Schizosaccharomyces pombe: one gene and its partner. The gene in region 2 interacts genetically with the main gene of each other region. Each region holds a gene or a part of one and is shown on either strand. Other genes may lie near its edges. The genes, in order: igo1 and ppk18.

Region 1 (3,954 bases), 2.7 Mb from region 2:
TCTGGATACACCTTCAGATGAAAATGGAGAAGATATAGCGATTCAACTGATTATACCTGCTGAATGAGATGAGGATTGATAGAATTCCGAAGAAAATCTCGAGTTGGCTGAATTCGCCAATCCGAAAACATCTTTCACAAAAAAGAACCCAACATCAAGCTTGATGGGTGAGCCTAAAGTTATATGCGAAAGGAATTGAGTTTGCTTTTACTAAAAAATCTAACGAAGCAGATGATTTATGTTGACCAGCTATGGTGAATCGGTGGACCGAATTATCGTTTTGTGACAACGGGAACGAAACGATTTTTTACCCACATTATTACCGAACTACACTCACATCCTGACCTTATGTATTTGGTTGGGGAATGACATGACTGAATTATAAATGATATACAAAAGTTTAAATTAAAATCACGTAAAAGCGAAGAAAACAAAAACAGAAACCAAAAAATTCTTGACCTTACTCGGTATTCTTTACAGTTTCCGTTCCTTTTGTAAGTATAAGAATAAAAACAATGCCTATTTTCGCTTTGCGGTTGCCTGCTGAGCAGAAAACTAAGCGAACCTTAATATTCTTTAAACTTTCCACCATATTTACTTTTATACATTAGAACTGTGTTGTTCAATTTCCTTAATTTTTTCGACTGCAAATTACAGTAAAGTAACAATACGTACTAGAGGATATACAAAATATCTGTTTTAAATGACAGATATTTACTATGTCTTTAATGAAAGATATAATACCTACTTGTAGGTAGTATTCTCTATCAGTAAGCCCATGCGCAAATATCGTACACTCAAAGGACTGATGATGAATGCTGGACAGGTCGGTACAATAACTTTTTGTAGCCAAGTCCATCGCCAAACGTTTCTCCTTCAACTAACTAACTAACTATAAGAACAATCATGCACGTATAACCAAATTATTGTTCCCGTATGCACATACGTTATTGTACATTTGAGTATGCAAACATGAAGGCGACACATCCGCTAACATGCCAAATGTATATCATTCATTGACTGCCACTCGCTTAGCTAAAAGTGCGAACGCATATGTAATTCTATGAGAAATTTAGTCATTTCCACATGTAACAGTAATTTTGCGAATACTAAGGCTAACATGACAATCGTAAGCCAAGAAGACTTCCTAATTTCACTTCAGACGGATGAGCAATTCACAACTAAAAGTTGCCTCAAATCACTACTACCTGTATCACGATTAGAATGAAAATGTCGGATTTTTGAGATGTTATCGCCATGATGCAATCTTTTCGCAACTAAGTACTTTTTCTATTAGCAAGATAAACCGACTCCTTGAAGCAACTTCATTCTCTAGTCCTTATTCTGATCTCCAAGTTAGGTAAATGGAAATTCAACTATTTGTGCAGAAACCCCATCTCCCATTATTACCCTTGCTGCTCTTCTTTCTATCTGTACACTTTGGGAAGGGACTGTTGAGTCGGACATTCAACACTTTTTACAGCCACCAAAAATAGGTTGCCTAGACTAACAATAGGAAGGAACTTGTCGTCATGTTAAAAATCGGCCTTGCTCATAATAATTATTTTATTATTTTATTTTTTTTTTATTAGTTTTGGACGCAGCGATAAAATGCCCGATAAGGTTAGAAAGAATAGGTTATTGGCAAGAAAGTAGGGTTAACAAGTGAGTCGGTAGAAAGCATGTTAATCAAGCGAGTATGCAAAGTCTTCGTCAAGGATTCCACTCACAATAGCAAAGGCAGCAAGTTGTTTGTAAATAGTAAACAAATGACATTTGGCATAAAACCGACCTTATCCACTTTACTTTTTCATCATTCATGAGAAATGCCACTTAATCAATGAATGATCATTTAGTGTAGATTAGCTCATTCAGCCGCTATTTCGTTGGAATCCAGTAATTTTAGAGTGTTTACGTATCGACAAAATTACGTATGATACCTAATACGTTAACAGTGCGGTATCTTAGGCTTCGGTAGACAAGTGGCCGTGTGGTATATGGTAAGAACGCGCAAATGGATGTTGTCAACAACCATAATCGCCATGTCTTCTAGCAATTCAGAGCAGAAAGTAGACGTTGCAGTAAGTTAAGATTGTACAGCTGAAATTGATTATTAACTGAAATAGAAATTAAGTCCAGAAGAACAGAAGCTTTTCCGTTTGTATGGACGACTTCCTCAGCGAAAGGATCTATTAGTTCAAAAATTACAGGTATGGAGGAATGGATGTGTTTTGGATAAATTGTCATATTTATTCTAACTCTACCCCTTTTTAGCAAGGTAGAAAATACTTTGATTCAGGCGACTATGCCTTAAACAAAGCTGGAAAGGCCTCCGATTCAGGTATCACTTGTATTGGTAAGGAGATTCCCTCTCCTGACACAATTCCTCACCGTGTTGTCAGTGCTGGGTCTCCTAATAAAGAGCCGTCTCTTCACACGAAACGACCCTCAGAGTCCTCGCCTAGTGGTGCCAGTAGCAGAAGGGAATCTGTCACGCGACACGACTTGGAAAGCAATGAAAATTGAGGTCATACACGTTGCTATTTTTGCGACAAGGTTGGAGGTTTAATTTGGCTTGGCTCTTAAAATTTGGTATTGCTTGTCGTGTGCGGAAATGCTGTGTGCAAAATTGTGGTCTGGCAAAATGGAACGAACGCGTTTGTTCAGCTGTCAAGAGTTATGAGAAATATATAACGATAAAAGTCTACGAAATGAAAACGCTTACTACTCTAATACTTCCCTTTTCTCTTCCTTACCCTTTTCTACGTAGTTGATGGAGGACAACACTTCTGTTTTATTCAATGCATCGCGCATTCCTTTTCTTCGTTTCTTACTTTAAATCTTTTTTTCATTTTCCTTTATCAACTGTTGTTCTATCTTGTAATTTCTTATATGGTTCACTTGTTTTTTTGTTGTCAGAACACTTGTCACGATTTTGGCTATATGGCATTGTTTAATTCCAATGTTTGATGATTGTTCTCGTCATCGCTCTTGCGTATTGCACTATTGTCGTCTCGTCTTTTTGTGAGTTTCAAGTGTTTTTACTTACTTTATTTTTCTTTTTACATTTATTTACAATGTAACGTTTTATCATTCTATAGAGCAAAATGAGCATATTCTAAAATTTAATTGTTGCCATTCGTCGCCACGTGGATACGGTGTCTCCAACGGTTTTACTTTCGAAAAAAATTTGCTGTATTTCTTTTGTTTTTCTTTTTTTTTTAGCGTGGCTTATCTTACTGAGCTTGGTCAATGTGATAGGAATAAAAAAATGAAGTGTTAATATATATTTTCTCGTAGTGCCAATTTTTTTGTGTTTGGCAGATTATTCAATTAGTCGTTAAGCATTCCTTCTTTTCTTGCTTTTTTTACTCATGAATAAGAGTAGTTATGCGTGAAATAGCATTCCTTATCGTATGTATCTACAAAGTTTTTTCGTCGAAAAAGATCACCGTAACAGTTATGTCGTCACGATACCTTCTTGAAATTGGATAAGTCAAGGTTAATAAAGCAGATATTCTTTGGTCGCTTCCACCCAAAGAATGTCGAATAAGGTGCGTGGCAGCATTATCATCAATGACCTTTGATGTTTTCTTAAACAGCGACCATGATTGTTTGTCATCCTGAGTTGTGTTCTTTTCGTTGGTAGTTTTACCCAAAACTGTATCTGCCCATTCTCCGACCAATTGTACTGCTTGTTCACTGGACATAGTGTCCCAAAGGCCATCGGAAGCCATAATTAGAAAGCGATGCTTCTTTGGATTCACGGTGATACTTTCAATTTCAGGGACCGCAGTAACATATGGAGGAGTTTTAACAGGGATGGGTGAAGCGGAAAAATATTCTCTGTGTAGTCTCTCGCTAATTTCCTGGGACCATTTGTAACGAGCGTCGCCAAAGGCTCTTGAAGGCATAAGACGTCCAAGAATCCTGTTATTACGAAGGACTTCTTCG
Region 2 (7,201 bases):
GCAGCTCGAGCTCGAGCTATACTCCTGCTTCGTCTACTTCTACTACTACTAGCAGTGTCAGTTCAAGGCAATCGTCAAGCAGCTCTTCATTCACTCCTTCTTCTGCCATTTCTACCGCAAAAAGCTCTTTCGTATTGAGTACGTTGTCAATTCTTATTGCGCTTTATATGGTCGCTTAGGTGATTGGTATGCGATGAAAATTTAACTTGTGGTTTGATGAAATATATCTGATGGTTTGTTGTTTGTATGATCGTGGTGACCGCTGAATAATATAAACTTCTCTATGTTCATTCGAATTATCGATTAGCTAAACTGAGCTCAAGGCTTTTTCATGTGCTTTTTTTGTTCTCGTTCACAGCGGTTATCGGTTATTTATTTTTTACGAGCATAACTGCATCTCAAGAATCTTTTATATTTCTGCCCGCTATGTTAGTAAAGCAGAGTATCTAAGAAACCTGACACTGTTATGGTCGTCTATTTTTTTGAATTCGTGATTCTTTAACATCTCGTAATTTCATTTCGAAATATAATGAATCTTTAGCTTATAAGAAAAGTCATGTGATTAATGTTTTCAAGTAAGTTGTAGCTAAGAATAACTAATATTGTATTGTGTAAGTTGTTAGATTATACAGTAATATTGCACTATTATGAATACGACAATGATGGAGACGTTAATTTCAAGTTGTTAAAGAAGAAGTTGGTGTAAGTTTTCCATGTGCTTGAATTATCGAGCAATTCCTAATTTAACCGTTTTCCACACCACTGTTCTTCCCATGCTAACCTAAAACTAATAAACAGTTGCCAGGGATGATAATATATTTTTTATTGCAAATTAGTATCAGCCGATGCGTTTTCTCTAAAAATGGGTTTTACCATGTATGCAATAAAATGATCAACTTGTGATGAGTGAGTTATTCTCCCTACCAAAATTTTCGTTACGATATGGAAAATTTAGAAAAAACATAGTAAAGGAAATCGTTTTGCTTTTCGAATGAATTTCGGGGGTTCAACTCTAAAATGGAACTTTTCTTTGTGGTAGTGTACACGCTATACACTCTTTTAGTCAACTGTCAAGTAATCGAATTTGGAAATATGATCTTAACATAGAGTATAATGTATTCTTTTAAGATATACGGAAATTTATTAGAACGCTGTGCATGAGAGCGTGGGAGTGTAAAATCCGGTACAGAAAACGGTTTCTCTGATGACCCATCCATTACCAATTTTATTCAGCAGGTACTAATGAAAAGCGACAGAAATTATGATTTTGGAAAAGAATAGCAGTTATGACCTACTTATCTATTAACAAATTGGTAACTCCTTATGCATCAATAATACATATGCATTCCTTACCAACACAGCTGTGAGCATATTGAATGATGGGGTGTCTAAACAAAGCAACTCGAATATCCTATTTTCAACACTATGAATGGGCGCATTCATCCCTATTCCAACAGATCTGTAAACATTAGCCTGTGAACAAATTAGTAGTGCGAATCGGAGGAATAGTTGGGCTGCAAGGAGGGTATCCCTGCTTTAAAGAGGGATTGAAGAAGAACAGGTTTTAATCCTAACTGCCAAAATATCAATCCTCCATCTATAATTGGTACTAAGCGGATTAAGCGCATACGTGCATGCGCGCAGTCGCACTTTTGTTTGAGACCTTTCCGCGCAAAATCATGTTACAGAAATGAAAGCAGAATAACACATCATGGAAGACATTTCCAAAAAAAATCCGCATTTCTACAGCTTGCATTACATTGTCTCGCTTTCCTTTCAATCACCAACCTTTTTTCATCTTGCAATGAAAATTCATAAACCGAAGTATAGCGATCAACGATATATAATTATATAATTATTGCCATCGAAATCGTTATTTAAGACATCGGCTCGCGATCTCTCCCCTTAGTGAATCCTGATCAAGGGATAAGTAAGCACAGGTATCAATCGTCCCAGGGTAACAATGATTAGCCTCTACGCACTGCTCACTCATATAAATATTGACACAGTCATCAAGAGCCACCCACGTTCATAAATTGGGTGTTTGATTAGAATATCAATTGGTTACCGTATTGTCTATGTTTTTTTAGTCGATAGATTGGGTTTTATGAAATAACGAAACGCTAATTGTATTCGAATGGTTTTACTTGTCGCACATTAGGATCAAAATCTGAATGGAGTTATAAAGTTAATGGTAATGCAAGAACGCAATTCCAACGAGGATAACAAAGTAAATCACGGAATAGACAACATTTATGTCTTGGAGTTAGATTTAGACGGATCTGTGCTGTTTGCAAGTACAAACTTCTCACAGATTACCGGGTAAGTGCAGTGGAATAGCGGGCGATGTTACGAAATTTCTCTGTGTTGTTGGCAGAAGGATACCATTGCTTGCTAGAATATTTATATTGTACATTTAATTTGTATCTTTCTTTTAACGATTCGGTTGGTATGACTTTGCAGATTACGCAAAAATAGCCATTGAATAAGGCTTCAATTGCCTTGATCTGTAAGTCATACGTATAATACTTAAATCTTCTATTTGCTGCCGACCTGTTTTAGTTCTTTTAAGCTGGATTGGCCAAGCTATGGCTGATACTCCTTGGGTCGCCTCTGTCCTTCAACTTTTGAAATCTTGCTCTTTTTCAATTTATTGCTAGGTCTTTTACTAACCAAGTTGCATAGAATTAGTTCGTTAGAACTTACTGGCAAACCTGCAGCTCTTCTGTCATCCGACCAGGAGATATTCAACGCAGCCATTGAACAGCTTCTTGACGATGACTCCCACAGTGTTAAAATTCATACCGTGATTTCGAAGCTGCCCTCCTTGGAGGAAAATGTCTTTGTTCAGGATGAGGAAATGGAGCTGCAATCAAAGTCTGTCGAATTGGATTGCGTTGGTGTCCTCATTCGTGATCCCTTAACCAGCCGACCCTCTCATACATTATGGGTTTTGCAACCTTTGAAGCCCACGCGAATCACTCGTCAGGAAATAGGCCAGCAACTCACAGAAACTCTAGGTTTTGGAGCTCAGTTACTGGCCCAACATCTTGAAAAGCTTCAAACCGTTCCTTCCACCGATAGTCTTCCTCCCTTTGAAACAGTACTTTGCAGGGTTTGCGATCATGAAATTCAAAATTGGTACTTTGAGCATCATACTGAACTTTGTCTTCTCATTCACCATGCTGAAGCACGTGCTCAAGAAGCAAATGACCTTCTTAACGAACAAAGAAATGCTTTACAAAGTTTGTTGGATTCTTTGGACGATCAGATAGAACCAGATGTATCATATTTGGGAGTTCCTCTCGCCGCCGTCCTTCCTTCCTCTATTACTTCCTCCGCGAAGTCGAATTCCCGGTCATCGTTGTCCCAAAAAATTAGAAATTACATTAGTAACATGCTGTTTGATGCCATAAGTTATACAGATAGTTGTTTAGCCATCCATTTACCTTTCATACCAGAATCCACTACCAGGGAAGACAATCAACCATTTAGTGAAATACGCTTATTATCACCAGCTAGTGAGGTTTTCAATGCAAAAACTCTTTCATGGTGCTTACCACATATTGATGACCCTGGGTTGCAATTGATGTTTGAAAACACGGATGCCTTAGTAAAAAAAAAGCTTGATGCCATTAATCGTCTCAGCAACATCATCTATTATTCTGAGCGTGTTCGTTGTGAAATTGAAGATCAAGTGCAGACCATTATTGAACAATCCATTCAAGTTGATGGTTATGACGAACCTCTCAGTACTACGACTCCTACACTTATTGAACCAATTCAAGAAACCCTTATGACACAATCTCCTATTATTGAATGCGAACCATTTAATACAGTTAAGCCTTCTGTTTCTCCTGAGGAAGTGCACGATATTTCACAGTTCAACCATAGGAATGATCCGCCGATTACTGCTGCTAGTGTTGATTCATCCAATTCTTTTTCAGTCCACCGTTCCTCTACAAATCACAGTAGTACTAATAGTGGATCTCCCAACCTAAGCCGTCGCAACAACCTTGCAATCCCCATTGCTTCTAGAAGAAAATCTGTGAGTGCAGTTAATACTTTATATGGAGTTGGTTCTTCCTATACCTCTGAAAGTTTTCCCTTTAGTAAACTTACTGTCCCAGTTGAGCGTAATTCTTTCCGTGAAACAGAGTCACCAAAACCATTTTTGAGTCGCCAGATTGGCATATCGACACTGTCATCCAACATTAGCAGTGGTAAAGGGACTCCTTCTATTCAAGATTACGAAATTATAAAGCCTATTAGTAAAGGAACCTTCGGCACTGTTTACCTTTCCCGTAAAAATACCACTGGGGAGATTTACGCCATTAAGGTCTTAAGAAAAGTTGACATGATTTCAAAAAATCAGGTCGCTAATGTGAAAGCTGAAAGGGCTGTGCTTATGGCGCAAGAAGAATCTGCATTTGTTGCAAAATTGTATTATGCCTTTCAAAGTAGGGATTACCTCTATCTTGTTATGGAATTCATGAATGGAGGGGATTGTGCATCCCTATTAAAATCGTTGTACACTATACCGGAATCGTGGGCAAAAATTTACATTGCTGAAGTTGCATTAGGTCTTGAGCATTTACATAGGCTTGGTATAATTCATCGTGACATTAAACCGGACAATATCCTTATGAGTATTACTGGACATCTGAAATTAGCGGATTTCGGCTTAAGTCAGTTAGGTTTAACTACACGGCAATTACGTTTACAAAAGGGTAAAAATAATATTTTGTCACCACCCAGCTTTCAATCTCCTACTGCGTTGGGTGATCCCGGTGATAATATTGCCAGTTCTCCCTTGATTTTACCTACCAGTGTTAGTGCTTTTTCGTATGATGAAAAATCGCAAAAGCAAAAAACAGAGTTGGCTACATTTACTACGTATAAAGAGGATGATACCACTACTACTACTCGTACGAGCATAGATAGCATCTCTAGTAAATATTTAGAAAGTCCAGTTGACTCTCAGAAAGTCAATCGGACTCCTAATTTACAATCGGTTCCTTTTTTTAGACAACCTGATGCTCCTAAAAGATTCGTTGGTACTCCTGACTATTTAGCACCTGAAACTCTTCGCGGAAGTACACAGGATGATATGGTTGATTGGTGGGCTCTTGGCTGTGTGTTGTTTGAGTTTCTGTTTGGTTATCCACCTTTTCACGCAGAGACCCCGGAAAAGGTATTTGAAAATATTTTGGCTAATAACATTGCATGGCCCGATTTAGAAATGTATCCTTGTTCCGAGGAAGCATTAGACTTGATTAATGGGTTTCTACAGCCAAATCCGGAGAGACGACTTGGGTTTTCGGATATTAATGAAATCAAAGAACATCCTTTTTTTAATGGGATTAATTGGGATGACATTTTTTCACACGAGGCTCCTTTTATACCTGCACCAGAAACCCCACTTGATACTGCATATTTTGATAGTCGTGGAGCTGGGGCTGCAGAATCTAACATGAGCTCATCTGTAAATAGCGGAGAGGAAGTTTCTAAGGATAATAATGTTTCTCAGGAAAGAGGTTCACAATTCCTTCGTTCATCTCATGGTCGCAGTCGTGAGAGAAGTACGTCAGCTCGTAGAAGCCGCCGATTTAGCGAAGCTAACTCAGAGTTTGACGAGTTTGGTCCCTTTTCTTATAAAAATTTAAGCGTTTTGGAAAGAGCTAATCGAAATGCTATTGAAAAAATAAGATCAGAAATAGCTGGCAAATTACATATATCCCCTCCGGATCCACACATTGGATACACCCCTGGTTCCGATATGCCTTCTGCAAAACTTTATGATCAGCAACTAACTTTAAGTCCCTCTTTAATGACAAACCAGGGCTCTAATTTTTCTTCCACTGATTCAACACCTAGGAAGTCCATTAACAGTTCTGATGTTGAATCTCGTTCTAAAACTGATGGCCCGAAGTCAATGCACGATTTGATTAAGCAACTGCATATGCGAAAGCATAGCTCTCATACGAATCAATCAACTGGTTCTTCTGAAAGTGATGATCTTTTTAATCTTGATCTTCCGATTTCGAATTTGGAAACTTCATATCCGTTTAAAATTGAGGAGGGTCAAGCATCTCCTTTGTCTTCTCCACTCTCAAAGACCCCTCCTTTTTTCTCTTCTTCAGTCCCCTTAAAGGCTTTGATATGTGTCAGCAAGCTGAATTTGTTTTCAGAGCTGATCAAGTTACTAAAATCATACAAGTTTCAAGTATCTATTGTTACCGATGAGGACAAAATGTTAAGAACTTTAATGGCTGATGAGAAGTTTTCGATCATATTTCTGCAATTAGATTTAACTCGTGTTTCTGGTGTTTCTATATTAAAGATTGTTCGATCAAGTAATTGTGCTAATCGAAATACGCCAGCTATAGCTTTGACACCTACCAGAATCGATATTAATGCTGCTATTCCTCGCATGTTTGATGGACGGTTATACTTGCCTATCAACGCGTTCCTTTTACGTGGTTATATAGCCCGGCTTTGCAATAAATGAGTTCAAACGTTTGTTAATCGTGATTGCTCATTTTTTGTTGTTACCATACTCTCTTTAATTTTTTCCTTTTTGTTTCTCGAATGTATAATAATTATAATAGTAATAATATTAATAACACTAATTTTTTTGAAAAAAGTTTACTTTTGTCAACTTACAAGACTTTTTTGGATTTATAACTTTTATTTTTACTGAGGTTTTTTCTACAGGATATGTAACAGTTAAAGTAATGAAAAAATAATAAGCCCAAAATAGCTCATCTTCTCCTGAACGACATTTCAATCCTATAAAGACTAACCTGAAACCGGTTTAGCAAATATTATAGAACCAGGTAACGTGAAAGTACAACAGTACATATCCTAGTTGTTTAGTTAGTTACATTAAAAGTGCTATATAAAGAAGGATATTACCTTGTTGGGAGCAACTTTTCGGACATAATAAAAGTCAACTTCTTCAGGAGAAAAACGATACCCCAACGAAGCGTATATCCGCTAAAAAAACTTGGTTAGTAAATTTTCATTTAAAGTAAGCATTTCATACATTTATAAGATCTTCCTCAGGATCGGGAAATCTACAAAAGCAGTGAACATGAACTTTTGGAAGAGAGCGGTCTTTAAACAAGTACTCCAATCCATAATAACAACCTTTGAAAGCATCTAAAAATTCAATCGCTGATCCGGGTAAATTCATTAC

The links.
Region 1: of ppk18 (region 2) and igo1, changing one suppresses a phenotype caused by changing the other (phenotypic suppression), as found in Schizosaccharomyces pombe (one study listed by BioGRID).

The regions. Positions count from the first base shown.
Region 1 is NC_003424.3:1,236,899-1,240,852, forward strand, and holds igo1 (serine/threonine protein phosphatase inhibitor Igo1), read left to right. Parts: upstream 1-1,997; coding exon 1,998-2,081; intron 2,082-2,126; coding exon 2,127-2,210; exon of another isoform or gene 2,211-2,274; coding exon 2,275-2,526; 3' UTR 2,527-3,287; downstream 3,288-3,954. Other genes in the region: SPOM_SPAC10F6.15 (uncharacterized protein), read left to right, coding at 1-67; SPOM_SPAC10F6.17C (bifunctional phosphoprotein phospatase/[pyruvate dehydrogenase (acetyl-transferring)]-phosphatase), read right to left, coding at 3,423-3,954. UniProt on the Schizosaccharomyces pombe protein: Plays an essential role in initiation of the G0 program by preventing the degradation of specific nutrient-regulated mRNAs via the 5'-3' mRNA decay pathway.
Region 2 is NC_003424.3:3,975,680-3,982,880, reverse strand, and holds ppk18 (serine/threonine protein kinase Ppk18), read left to right. Parts: upstream 1-2,025; 5' UTR 2,026-2,191; coding exon 2,192-2,322; exon of another isoform or gene 2,323-2,367; intron 2,368-2,685; coding exon 2,686-6,511; 3' UTR 6,512-6,629; downstream 6,630-7,201. Other genes in the region: SPOM_SPAPB18E9.04C (uncharacterized protein), read left to right, coding at 1-179; tRNA (guanine) methyltransferase Trm5, read right to left, coding at 6,802-6,867, 6,919-6,999, 7,049-7,201.